Cricetulus griseus: one gene and its partners. The protein of the gene in region 1 interacts with the protein of each later gene in a pairwise test. Links are inferred from orthologs where the notes say so. Each region holds a gene or a part of one and is shown on either strand. Other genes may lie near its edges.

Evidence for each region.
Region 2: the proteins of Fam131c (region 1) and Hpcal4 interact in binary tests that used the Homo sapiens proteins (3 or more experiments, as listed by UniProt). The two-hybrid records come from large-scale screens. The link is inferred for Cricetulus griseus from reciprocal best matches to the Homo sapiens genes FAM131C and HPCAL4.
Region 3: the proteins of Fam131c (region 1) and Vsnl1 interact in binary tests that used the Homo sapiens proteins (3 or more experiments, as listed by UniProt). The two-hybrid records come from large-scale screens. The link is inferred for Cricetulus griseus from reciprocal best matches to the Homo sapiens genes FAM131C and VSNL1.

What each region holds. Positions count from the first base shown.
Region 1 is NC_048595.1:11,885,821-11,890,116, forward strand, and holds the start of Fam131c (protein FAM131C), read right to left. Parts: upstream 2,809-4,296; coding exon 2,787-2,808; intron 1-2,786.
Region 2 is NC_048595.1:29,808,518-29,812,519, forward strand, and holds the start of Hpcal4 (hippocalcin-like protein 4), read right to left. Parts: upstream 2,806-4,002; coding exon 2,644-2,805; intron 2,507-2,643; coding exon 2,291-2,506; intron 1-2,290. UniProt on the Homo sapiens protein: May be involved in the calcium-dependent regulation of rhodopsin phosphorylation.
Region 3 is NC_048600.1:21,347,979-21,352,053, reverse strand, and holds the start of Vsnl1 (visinin-like protein 1), read left to right. Parts: upstream 1-1,239; 5' UTR 1,240-1,356; intron 1,357-3,689; 5' UTR 3,690-3,694; coding exon 3,695-3,856; intron 3,857-4,075.

The DNA of each region.
Region 1 (4,296 bases):
TTCAAGGTCATCCTCAGCTACACAGCAAGTTCACGGTTAGCCTGGGCTATTGGAGACCCTATTTAAACAAGAAAAAAAAAAAGATAACTGGGGCAGATGTGGTGGCCCCAACATGAAATTCTAGCATTTGGGAGAAGCAGGAGGATGACCTTGAGTTCAATGCCAGCCAGGACTACAGAATAAGACCCCTGTCTCGAAAACCAATAAACAAGAAATGCTGAAAAATACAAATAGATACGGAATACAAAATAGTTCCTAGATGCAGTGTGTATGGCCAGTATCTCACTGTCCTCAACGCAAATGCCTGGCACCTACTGCTCCCTCAGAGGCACGAGGAGTCCCCTTTACCACCAAGAAGGCCTGGAGCAATTGTCTGTAGGATGCACCAGCCCATGAGAGGAGTGGCTATTGAATGTTGGCGGTGCCAGCACTGACGGTGGGGTGGTCTTTGCACTGAGACCCTCTCGACCCCATGTTATACTCCCACTCTATTACCATCCCCACTCAACTTGGTGAGCTCACACACTTGGGGACAGTGGGTCAGGGACTGCAGACGGGTCTCCTGATCCCCCAGATCTCCCAGGTGTCGCCTGCACCTGGAGTAGGAGGAACTGGGTAGTCCCAGTTGGTTGCAGGCTCCAGGCTCTGTGAGGCATCAGTGCCAAGTTCATGACCCCTGACCTCTACTACAGGCTCTGAACATGGCCCATGCTAACCCTTGGCAGGTGGGGACTATGGCCAACAAGTGGTCCAGGTGTGCAGAGGACCAAGGAGGCCACGGAAGCCTGAGACGACCCACAAGGCCAAGGGTGCTGAGGATGACGATCAGGCTGGCCTCGAACTCACAGACAGCCTCCTGCCTCTGCCTCCCATGTGCTGGGATTAAAGGAGTGTTCCACCAGCACCCAGCTCATACCTCTCACTTCTAAGTTGCTGGAGTACATGTTGAGACTGTCAGGCTCTGTCCTCTCCGGATGGGGAGAGGGTTAGAAAATGCAGCCTGATCTTGGGGTGGCACTCAGGATGCAGGAGGAAGGGTGGAGAGTGACTGTCTCAGCCAGTGTGACCTCGACAGCCCTGGCTGAGGGGTCGTGGAGGGAGTATGGGAGATGGGACACCCAGGTCTCCACCTCATAGTGTGACCTTGGCAGGCGTCCCTGCTGTCTGTCTGGCCTCTGTCCTGTACTCTGTGGAGCCTGTGCTCCCAGGCAGGTGCACTCGGGGCTGGAATCCCACAGCTGTGAGCATGGGTTGACCAAGGGACCTGTCACTAAGGAAACATCTAGATACCTAACTGCTAGAACTCCGGCCAAGGGAGACTGCAGGGTTTCTGGGGAGGCTCCGACTCTGAGAGCCTAGAGTTGAGAGACCCATCCTTACACTCCACCGAGCTTCACAGGCCGGGGTATGCTGGGTTCCTCAGGTCGTACAGGACCACACTTCTTCTAACACAGTGGAGGACACCCAGTAGGTAGCCCTGCTATGTTACCATCAGTCAGTCTGAACCAACTTCACACAGACTGACCCTGCTCTTCCCCTCCCCCACCCATGACCCCACTGCTGACACCTTCCAGGGACCTGAGTCACCTGCCCGAATACTATTCCATGAACTTGGGACAGAACTCCCTCAGAGTGCAGAGGAAGGGGGAGGAATGGTTTTTCAACATTCCCCAGACCAAGGTTCCCTCTAGGGCCTGCCCAGCCCCCTCTCAGACCAGTTTATCCTTCTCTGCTGTGTAAATTTCTGGAGCGGCCAGTGGAATCTTCTAAGACCTTGGGTGAGGAGACTTGGTCTCTACACTCTCACTCCCAGTCTGCCCCCTGCTCCCACGAAGGGTAAGAGTCCCAAGTGGGACAATGGCCCAACCTTTTTTTTGGTGGGGGGCGTTGTTTTGCTTTGACACAAGGTCTCATGTAGCCCAGGTTGGCCACAAACTGTGCTGTGGGTGCTGGCCTTGAACTCTGGATCTTGCACTCCTGAGATTACAGGCATGTCCCGACACCTTCCAACCTCTTTTCTAAAAGATTACCCCAAAGACAAATATGCCCCTCCCCCAGCCTCCGTGAAAGACCCTACACTCGCATTCACAGACAGGTACCGCCCCCCACCCCACCCCCCACTCCGCGCGGCGCGCGCCAACAGATAGAGTCACTCTCGTTCCCTGGAATCACCTTGGGGACAACCAAGGTGCCAGGTCAGAGACAAAGGCCCAGGGGTTACTGGGAACATCAACTGTCCTCTCTCCACTCCTGTCCCCTGGGCAGAGATGGAGGTGGGGATGGAGTTAGGGATGAGGGTGGGGCAAAGCCAACCTTGATAACCTGTTCGTCCCTCCTGACCCCCCAAGGGGTTTCTAGGGCTGAGGACAGAGGCACCGGGAGGGAACGGGATCCCGGGCTAGGAAGGCCTGCGTCTTGGGGAGCAGGAGCGAGGTCTGCTATCTTCCTGGAGCTCAGTGGCCCGTAAGAGGACCAAAAGAACCGGAAGCCGCCCTCCCTTCCCAGGCACACTGCAGGAGGCGTGTGGCTGCAGGGAAGAAAGCATGGCACCGGGGACCTTGCTTCATGCCACCTGCCGGGTGCCGAGTGGGGCGTGGGGTGTGGAGACCTCCGCCCGCTCCGCGCTCTGCACGCTGCCCGCTCTCCTGCCGAGCCCGGTCCCAACGGAGCACGCGTCCCCTGGGGCGCTACTGGTCCGTGAAGGGCGGACACCCACCCTGGGCGTCCCCGGGGCCGCGTGCTGGTACCCCCGCCCCTCGCCGCGTCCCGGGCCGCTGGGTCCTCACCTCGCGACACGCAGGAGCCCATCACGGGGCGGCGGGGCCGGGCCACTGCGCCCGGGTGCGGCGGGCGGCCGCGCGCTCATGTCTCCGCGGCCGGGGCTGCTCGGCTCGGCCTCCGCTAGCGCCTGGGTCGTCGTCCCCGCTGTCGCGTCCCGATCGCCTCGCCTCGCCTCGCGCCGCGCCCGCAGCTGCCAGGACCGGGCGACGCCGCTGCGGGTGGGGGTGGGGGGGACCCAGGGAGCGCGGAGGGCGGTGCTGGGGTGCGCCCCGCCCCCTCCGTGCCTGTGCACCTGTTGTCGCAGCCCGGGGTAACCTGGACTCGGCCCTGTAAGGAAGACTTCTAGCCTCAGACCTGAGCCGCACCTGCTGTCTGGAGCTCAAGGTCAGGGGAGGGGGCTGGGACCGGGGAATTCTGCAAGGAGGAATCTCATCCCACTGTGCACACTGAGGATGGAGACTTGGTGTGTGTGTGTGTGTGTGTGTGTGTGTGTGTGTGTGTGTCCGCGTGCGCGCGCCACAGCATGAGTATGGAGATCAAATGACACTTGGGGGAGTCTATGGGGAGGCTATTTCCTTCCACTATATGGATCCTAGGAACCAAACTCGGGTGGTCATACTTCCCGGAAAGTGCCTTTACCGGCTGAGCCACCTCCCCCAAGTCAGAGTTTTTTAATAGTCACCTGTGCATAGGAGGATGCTGGCCCAGGATGAGCGTTCTGAGGGAGGACCAGGATATAGTGGCCTCCTGGCTGGATAGAGGGCTCATGCACACACCCTCCTGCACATACGGTCTCCACAGCTCACACATACACTCTTGTGTGCAGTCACATGCGCCCATTCAGGATTTCAGAGTGACCAGCCACTCCTTGGCAAACGTTGCCAGGCTCCCCGTATCTGAGGCAAATTTCATCTCACTCCATCCTTGGGCAGAGGGGTCACTGGATCTGTTTACCCAGCATGGGTCACTAGAGCCAGCCCTGAGGGGTGGGGAGGGCTTAAAACAAGGTTCTGGGTGGGGGCTGAAGGCCCTGTGCAGAGCAAAAGCCAAGCCTGGGGGGTCTGCTCAGGGCTGCGCAGTTGAGCTCTTGAGGAAAGTCCGAGGAGAGATGGCTCTGTTCTGGCCCTGCTGTTATCAGATGTAGGTTTATCCAGCTCAGATAAACCGTGTTACTTAAACACACAATTGAGTCTGGAAGGAACATATGTGGTCATCACTGCTCCAAACACAACGCAGAACGACCGCATTTATCAGACATGGGGCATCGCAAATAATCCTGACACAGTTGGACGTACAGTGCATGGGAGCAGGGGTGATGTCACTCCTATAATGCCAGCTCTGGGGAGGTAGAAAGAGGAGAATCAGAAGTTCAAGGTTATCCTTGGTTATATAGTGAGTTCAAGGTCAGCCTGGGCTACATGGGATCCTGCCTTGAAAAAGAAAAGGATGAGAAAATAAAGTGTATGGAAGGTTGTGCATGGGTTATGAGGCAATGCTGCACCAAGGGGCTGGAGC
Region 2 (4,002 bases), about 18 Mb from region 1:
CTGGTGGAGCAATGACAGAGGTGTGAACACCCAACTGGCAGGGAGGGCTGAGGATGGATAAAAGGGGGTCTGTCTGGGAGTGGACTGAGAAGATACTGGAGGACGGTGAAAACACTAGAAAGAGACATGTTGTTAAGACTGGCTTTTTAGGGCTGGCTGGAGGGCTGAACTGGAAGCAGCTTGCTGCACAAGCCTGAAGACCTGAGTTTGTTCTCCAGAACCCACATAAATGTGGAAGGAAAGAACTGACTCCACAAAGTTGTTCTCTGACCTCACATGACACTGTGGAAATGTAACCCTCCATATCACTCATGCACGCGAGTATGCGTGCACACACACACACACACACAGACACACGCACGCACGCACGCACGCACGCACACATTTCTTTACCCATCATGTGATTCTGAATGGCCTGGAACTTGCTATGTAGACAAGGCTGGCTTTGAACTCACTATGTAAACCATGCTGGCTTTGAATTCACAGAGATTCACCTCCCTCTGCCCACTGAGTGCTGGAATTAAAGCTGTGCACCAATTCCTAGTGCTCGACCTGGCTTTTTGGAGCCCATTCCCTATGGAGGGATACCTTGGTCAGCTTAGATACAGGGCGGGTGAGAGTATGTGAGGGTGTGATGTGACAGACTTTGATGATTCCCCACTTGAGGCCTCACCCTCTGAGGAGTGGATGGGGGGTGGGATGGGGAGATGGGGGGGGAAGTGGAAGGATGGGAGGGAGAGGGAACTGGGATTGGTATGTTAAATAAAATTGTTTTAAAAAGAAAAAGGTGTGCACCAACACACCCAATTAATTAAAAAAAAAGACTGTCTACCTAATGAGCACTCAAATGACTCATGCCTCAAACTCAACTCTTTAACCCACTTCTCACCTGCCGTACCTCTAGAATTCCACCTCAACAAGTAACAACTCCACTCTGCCAAATTGAAAGCAAAAACAAAACAAAACCCTAAACCATCATTTGTTAAATTTGTTGAGACAATGTTTCACCAGTAGCCCAGACTGGCTTGGAACTCAATATGTTGCTCAGCTTAGTCTTGAACTCACCATCCTTCTGCCTCAGCTTCTTGAGTGCTGGGATTACAGAGGTGTGCCGCTCAGTTCTCACGTCATTCTTCTCTCCTCTCTCTCTCTCTCTCTCTCTCTCTCTCTCTCTCTCTCTCTCTCACACACACACACACACACACACACACACACACACACACACTCCTTCGGCAAAAAATGTCAACTCTAATTTTGTAACGGCCCTATGTTGACTTGCTTTCCACCATTTCCACAGTTCATGCATGAAGGCAGCTTCCAACAGTCCTGACTGGATTTTTGTGGAAGTCTCCTTACTGGTCCGACTGCCCCTTCTGCCCACCATCTCCTCAATTATCTGATCTCAACACTCAGAATACACTCAATGCCTCTACCCTAGCCTGAGCCACTGACGGGACCCCTGTCTCCCTGTGGGACCATCTTCCTGCCATTCTCCCCTCTGCTCACACCTCCACTACTGCCCTGGCCTCCTGCCACACTGTGAGCCAGGTGAACACAACCTCACCTGCATGGTGGTTCACTCTGGGGACCTGAGAGTTCGTGCCGCCCTCTTCCTTCCTCTACTTTGCTTATCTCTGTTTTCACACCAATTACTGCCTGGCATGGCCCAAATTTACTTACTGACTTACTAGAAGGGTCTCCTATGAAAGCACACGGCAGACACTTAAGATGTTTTTTAAAAGCAAAACTACGAAACAAACAAACAAAAAAAGCCAGGCTGTGGTGGCACACATTTTAAATCCCAGCACTCGGGACTCAGAGGCAGGTGGATCTTTATGAGTTCGAGGCCAGCCGTCTACAGAGGGAGTTCCAGGACACGCTCCAAAGCTACACAGAGCAAGAAACATGGCCTGGCTGAGATCAGACAGAGGTCAAAGGACAAACGTGTAGGAATTGGTTCTCTCCTTCTACTATGTAGGGTCACAGGGTTAAAGCCGGGTAGTGAGACCTGGCAGCAAGCACCTTTACATGCTGAGCCATCTCTCCTGACCTCAATAATTAACTTCTTGAAAAAGCAAAATGAATTGACTTGGCTACTCTAGATTTGATTGACTGTTGGCTGCCACATGCTCCCTTTGTTCATCTGGGAAAATGGGGTATCTGACACTATCTACCCCACGGGATAAGCATTGAGCAAGGGGTCTGCAGACTGTGGTGGGAGAACACTGGGGAGCAGCTACGAGTCTCCTGAGGCTCAAGGACACTGGACGCCCACCCTGGGCCCCCGCACCTCGATGATCTCCAGCATCTCCAGGCGCGTGATGCGCCCGTCGCCGTCCAGGTCGTACATCTCAAAGGCCCAGTTGAGCTTCTGCTCGAAGCTGCCACGGGAGGTGACAGAAAGGGCGCAGATGAACTCCCGGAAGTCAATGGTGCCATCGCCGTTCTTGTCGAAGGTGCGGAAAGCATGCTGTGCAAACTTGGAGGCGTCTCCGTAAGGGAAGAACTGAGGCAGGGGTACGGGTTATTGGGGCGCAGCGACAGACCCACCCTCCCTGCCGACCACATCCTTCTGAGTTCCACCAGCTCTCAATCAGGTCCCCAGTACCCGTCCACCCCGCCATGCCATGCTCCACCCTGCACCTTGATGTAGAGCTGCTGAAACTCCTCCAGGTTGAGGATGCCGCTGGGACAGTCCTTCAGGAACCCCTTATACCACTGCTTTAGCTCCTGCTCGCTGAACTCTGTGTTCTGGACCAGGTCTTCCAGTACCTCGGGGGCCAGCTTGCTGTTGTTTTTCCCCATGGTGGGCCTGCAGGACAGAGAGCTTGCTCAACATGGCCCCAGGCTAGGACCTCACCTCTGTAAAGTGGTTCTCCACCCTTGTTCCACTTGGACCTTTCTTCACAGTCCCCTCCCAGGAGGAGCCCTTCTTCCTAAAGTCAGTACCCCTCTCCCCACAACAGTGCCCCCTTCCCTGGCCAACCACTTCAGCAAGCTCCACCTTCCTTCAACACCCTCAACATGCACTCATCCCTTCTCAAAGGAAGCCTGCTTTCATTGGGCAGTGGGCTCCCTCTCCCCTCACAATACGGGGCACCCCAGAGCAGACCCCTCTGGAGGACATTTCCAGCCTTTCCTGGTGGCGACTGATCCCCTTGGTGACTTGTGACACAGTATGGCCCAGTCTTCACCCTCACTTCACCCATTATTCATCATTCCCTTAGTCCCTAGCATAAAGCCTCAACTAATCTCCCTGCTAGCAAGGGCTGGCTGCATTCAGCACCCTCCCTCCTGGGCAGACTCCTCTTCTATCAAAGTCCCCCAGGAACCATTTCCCAAGTTCTTCCTCCAGGCTTTCCTGGGAGCCCCACACAGGAAGCATCTCTCTTTCCTTCCTTCCTGAGAACGAGTAGAAGGCCTAGACTGGAACGGTGTTGACCCCATCACACTTTGCTTTTCATTAACCCATTCACTCCCTGAGAATTTGTTGGAGACCTGGACTTGGTATGAAGATAAAGCCAAGATGAGCCAGCCTTCAGTAGCTCATGCAAGGTTTCTAGAGATAGATGACTGTCTGCAAAAAGCCTTCAATCCACGACAACCTGGAGGTTATTTGTTTGTTTGTTTGCTTTTCAAGACTGGGTTTCTTTGTAGATTTGGAGCTGTCCTGGAACTCACTCAGTAGACTAGGCTGGCCTTAAACTCACAGAAATCCTCCTGTCTTTGCCTCCCCAGTACCAGAATTAAAGGCGTGCGCCACCACTGCCCAGCCAACCTGGAGATTTTAAAGCAAAGAGTTTGGAAGCTAACATTCATTTCCTAACACAGAGCACTCACAATATGCCAGGTCCTGATCTATGTCCTGGAAATCCAGAGATTTTTGAAATTTTCCTTTAGCTGCAATGTGCAAGATGACTTGAGGGTAGGGCTGGAAAAGAGGGCTTAGTGGTTAAGAGCACTTGCTGCTCTTCCAGAGGATCCAAGTTTGGTTCCCAGCAC
Region 3 (4,075 bases), on another chromosome or scaffold:
ATAAGAAAGCTTACTTGGCTCATGCCACTGTGGCCCAGAATGAGAGGTCCATGATTCAGAAGCATCAAGCCATCTCCGCCCATTCATTTAAAAACCTTGCCATGCACCATCTTTCTATCAGCCCCCAAGGATTCTGAGGTGAAAGACAGACTCTGCCTTCAAGGTATTCAGAAGTAATGAATGAGAACAGACAGGTAAGCCATCTTTAGCAGGACAGGCTATTTTCCACATAGTTAAGCAAAACATATCTGCCATCTGTGGGCTGTATCTCAGACTTAAGAGTCCATCAACCCTCTTCATATCGAGATAATGAGACTGATTTCCCTGGGAAAATGCATATCAAATATGTGAGTCCACCTTACTACTCATTCCCTCAAAATGTGTTTGTGGAACATCTAATAGAAATTACCAAGGACGGAAAGACAGTCATCCCTCATTCTCTTGGTCTCTGTGTATCTCTCTGTCTCTGTCTCTCCCTCCCTCTCTCTCACAAAAAAAGAGAAAGAAAGAAAAAAGGAAGGAAGGAAGGAAGGAAGGAAGGAAGGAGAGAGGGAAGGAAGGAGAGAGGGAGGAATGGAGGGAGGGAGGAAAGAAGAAAAAAACTCCAGTAGGAAAATAAGGACACCGTGGAAGCTCTACCAAGAGAGGAGAGACCTATGATGAAGGATCGCTCCACCATGAAGATCTTACCGAGGAGGTCAGATGTGAACTGGGGTTATGTAGGCAGACAGGAAGGAATTGGCTAAGATGACAAAGGGAACATCATCCTAGAGAACTTGGAGGTCTGCAACGTGCAAGCTCTGAAACTTATAACTGCTCATTATTGTTACCATATGGAGTAAAACAACAGACAGGAAGAAAGTGAGGCTACTTAGCAAACAGCAGAATATGTGCCATGCTCAGGAGGTGGCGCCGTGTGCTGTGGACAAGGGGGCAGTGCTGAGGTTTGAAGAGACAAGTCCAGTGGTAGGGTTGGTGGCTCAAAACTGTACTCATGCAGCTATGCCCTGTGGGTTAGGATAGAACCCGGGGAGTGAGGAAGAAGGAGAGCCTGGTGAAGTCTGGCCTGGTGGGGGTGGGGGTGGCACAGAGGCACAATCACTGAAACAGGCCATAACAGGACTTTGTACATGATCTACCCACTCTGGGCACACCTGAGCAATAACATTGACTGTGACTGTAACCAAAAGGCATGAAGTTATGCACTTGGTTCTCCAGAATTATGACTCATAGCCCTGACAATGCCTCTTGTGTGTGAGAGAGACATTCATCCTCTCTCAGCCAGTGGGAACAGCTTGAGGCATCGCAAATGATCCATGGAGAATCTGCTTTTTCTACACTGCTGAATTTCTACAGGTATTTGGGGAGTGGTTTCTCATAACTTTTAACCTATTTCTTATGATTAATTACTATATATGTGCCAAGTGTGATTTTGGTAAGTTTTTCTCTAATGAGCCAGCCAATCCAGCAATGTGACCCATCTCTCTGTTTTTCCTTTTTCAACATGAGTCAGATCTCTCTGACCCTCCAACTTTTGCTCCTCCTCTTCTGATCCAGAGATGCTTCCATCCTCTTGTGTATCTCTGCTGATGCAGTTTAGTCTTGTAAATCCAGTTTCAAACCCTAGCTTTGCATTTCCTTGGTTGTGTGATCTTGTAGAAGTTACCACAGTGTTCTGAGTCTCGGGGAGATGTCCTGGTCCCTGTTGAAGTATGTGAAGTGCTCCATCTAAGGCAGTGATTCTTAATCTTCCTACTGCTGCGACCCTTTAATACAGCTCCTCATGTTGTGGTGACCTCCATCCATAAATCTATTTCTATTGTTACTTCATAACTGTAACTTTGCTACTATTATGAATCACAAGGTAAATATCTATGTTTTCTGGTGGTCTTAGGTGACCCCTAAGAAAGGGTCATTAGACCTCTAAGGGGATTGCATCCCATAGGTTGAGAACCACTGATCTACGGCTTTCTCCAAGCCAACATAATATATTCAGTACTTACTGCTGTGAGGTGGGATTCTAAATAAGGAAAATCGATGCCTCTCTATCAAAAGTAACAAAGTAACAGCCTGAAAGTTTTGGCGGCCCATCTTTTGATTCTGAGGCTAACAGTGAATTACAGTTTTCTTACCCAGATTAATTAAATCTCACACCTGAGTACCCACTCATTTCCACATCCAGCTGTGGAATGCCACAGTAACTTATAATTAAGAGACAGTTGCTAATAAAAGACTTTGAAGTGAAATTCAGAGCAGAAGTGAACAAAAGACTCCCGATACAGGGCAGAGTTGCTGATCCCAGAGCACCTTGGTCAAACAGAGGAGCTTGGAAAATAACTAGCCACCATAAGGTGTCCTCGGAATGGCTCCGTGCTGCTGGGGTGATGCCAGGATGGAAACTTTCCTGGAAGTAATGAGCAGGGTTTGCTTTCATTATAGTGAAATGCCTGGTCTATGTTGGAGCAGGTTACTGATAAAGGATGCAGGAGCTGCTTTAGGAAGAGATTAAAATAATTACAATAGCGAAGTATAAGATGGCATTTTCCCCTCAGGGCTGTTGCAAGTATAGACCTGCTTAAAATGCATGGAATAACTGATCCACTTGAGTTCATTCTTTAAAACCTAAATCACCCTGCTAGTTACATCTCTCAAACATCTTCTGGGACTGTTCTTCTCAAGTGTCCTCAGATTGTCATGAATTTTTTTCAGTCACTCTGGAGTTTATTGGCCACAGTTTAATGATTTTTATTATACTAAAATGACATTAAAAGGATTTTAAAATGTTAATAATCTAGCAAAAGTACAACTATTTTAATCTCAAGTTATTCTTTTTCGTCTTCACCTATGTATTTCTTAATTAAGCATCCGGTAAAGCTGGATCCTGTTACATCTGCTAATTTATTTTATGAAGCAATTGAAAGAGGACAATAATTAATATTTATGTATCTAGCACACATAGATACTTACAAATCCAGGAGGCAATCTGGAGATTCTAAACCTGAGCTGTCCTCCTACTCTATGCTCTGCTGTGACCATGCAATTTACAGTTCATGTAGGAGACATGACTTCATGCACTGATATTTTAACTTTGAATGATTAAATGTGACAGGATGAAATATAGTTGATGAAAATTCACTAACCAATCTTTAGGGAAAGTCAACACTGAAGATAGGGAATGTCTAGAAATTAGAAGAGTATGAATTGATGTGACTAATAAAAATGTTTTCATTCAATTAAAAAAAAATCCAGGACTTGGGAACTAGACCAACCAAGACACTACAATAGATGGTCAGGTTTTTAAACTTTTGGTTATAAAGTCTTCCCATGGGTCTTGTCCATATCTCTCCCAATATCCATGCAAGTTAAGTGTAAAATTAGATGCTTAGGTATCAAGTACCAGTGAACTGTAACTCAAAAGAGTAGACAACAAGCTTCCATATACCTGTGATGAACATCAAGTAAAATGGCTCTCTGGTTTCCATGGAAGAATCAATGCCTTGTGACAGGTGACACAATGACAGGGAGCTGCACAGACTGCAGGCTCCTCCAAAGGGGTTTTCCTGTTCCTGTCTATTCTGGAATACTAAGTGGAAGAAGGATGCAGACTCAGGGAGGCTGGGATCAGACAGGCAGAAGTGAGTTCTGGCCACTGTGCTGACTACGTCAATGTGGTTTGTGGTTTTCTGCAGGCACAATGGGGAAACAGAATAGCAAACTGGCCCCCGAAGTCATGGAGGACCTGGTGAAGAGCACCGAATTCAACGAGCATGAGCTCAAGCAGTGGTACAAGGGGTTCCTCAAAGACTGTCCAAGCGGGAGGCTGAATCTTGAGGAGTTCCAGCAGCTGTACGTGAAGGTACGAAATTCCCTCTGCTTCTCATCTCCAATGATATCTGGCTAGCTGCAATTCTGGTGGTGTTTCATTCTAACTTTTAAATCACTGTTTTTGATGCAGAGGTGTGTGTGTGTGTGTGTGTGTGTGTGTGTGTGTGTGTGTGTGTGTACACATGCATGTGTGTATGTGTGTGTGAAGCAATTTCTGAACAAGAAAACTAGTTATTAAAATATTGAGTAT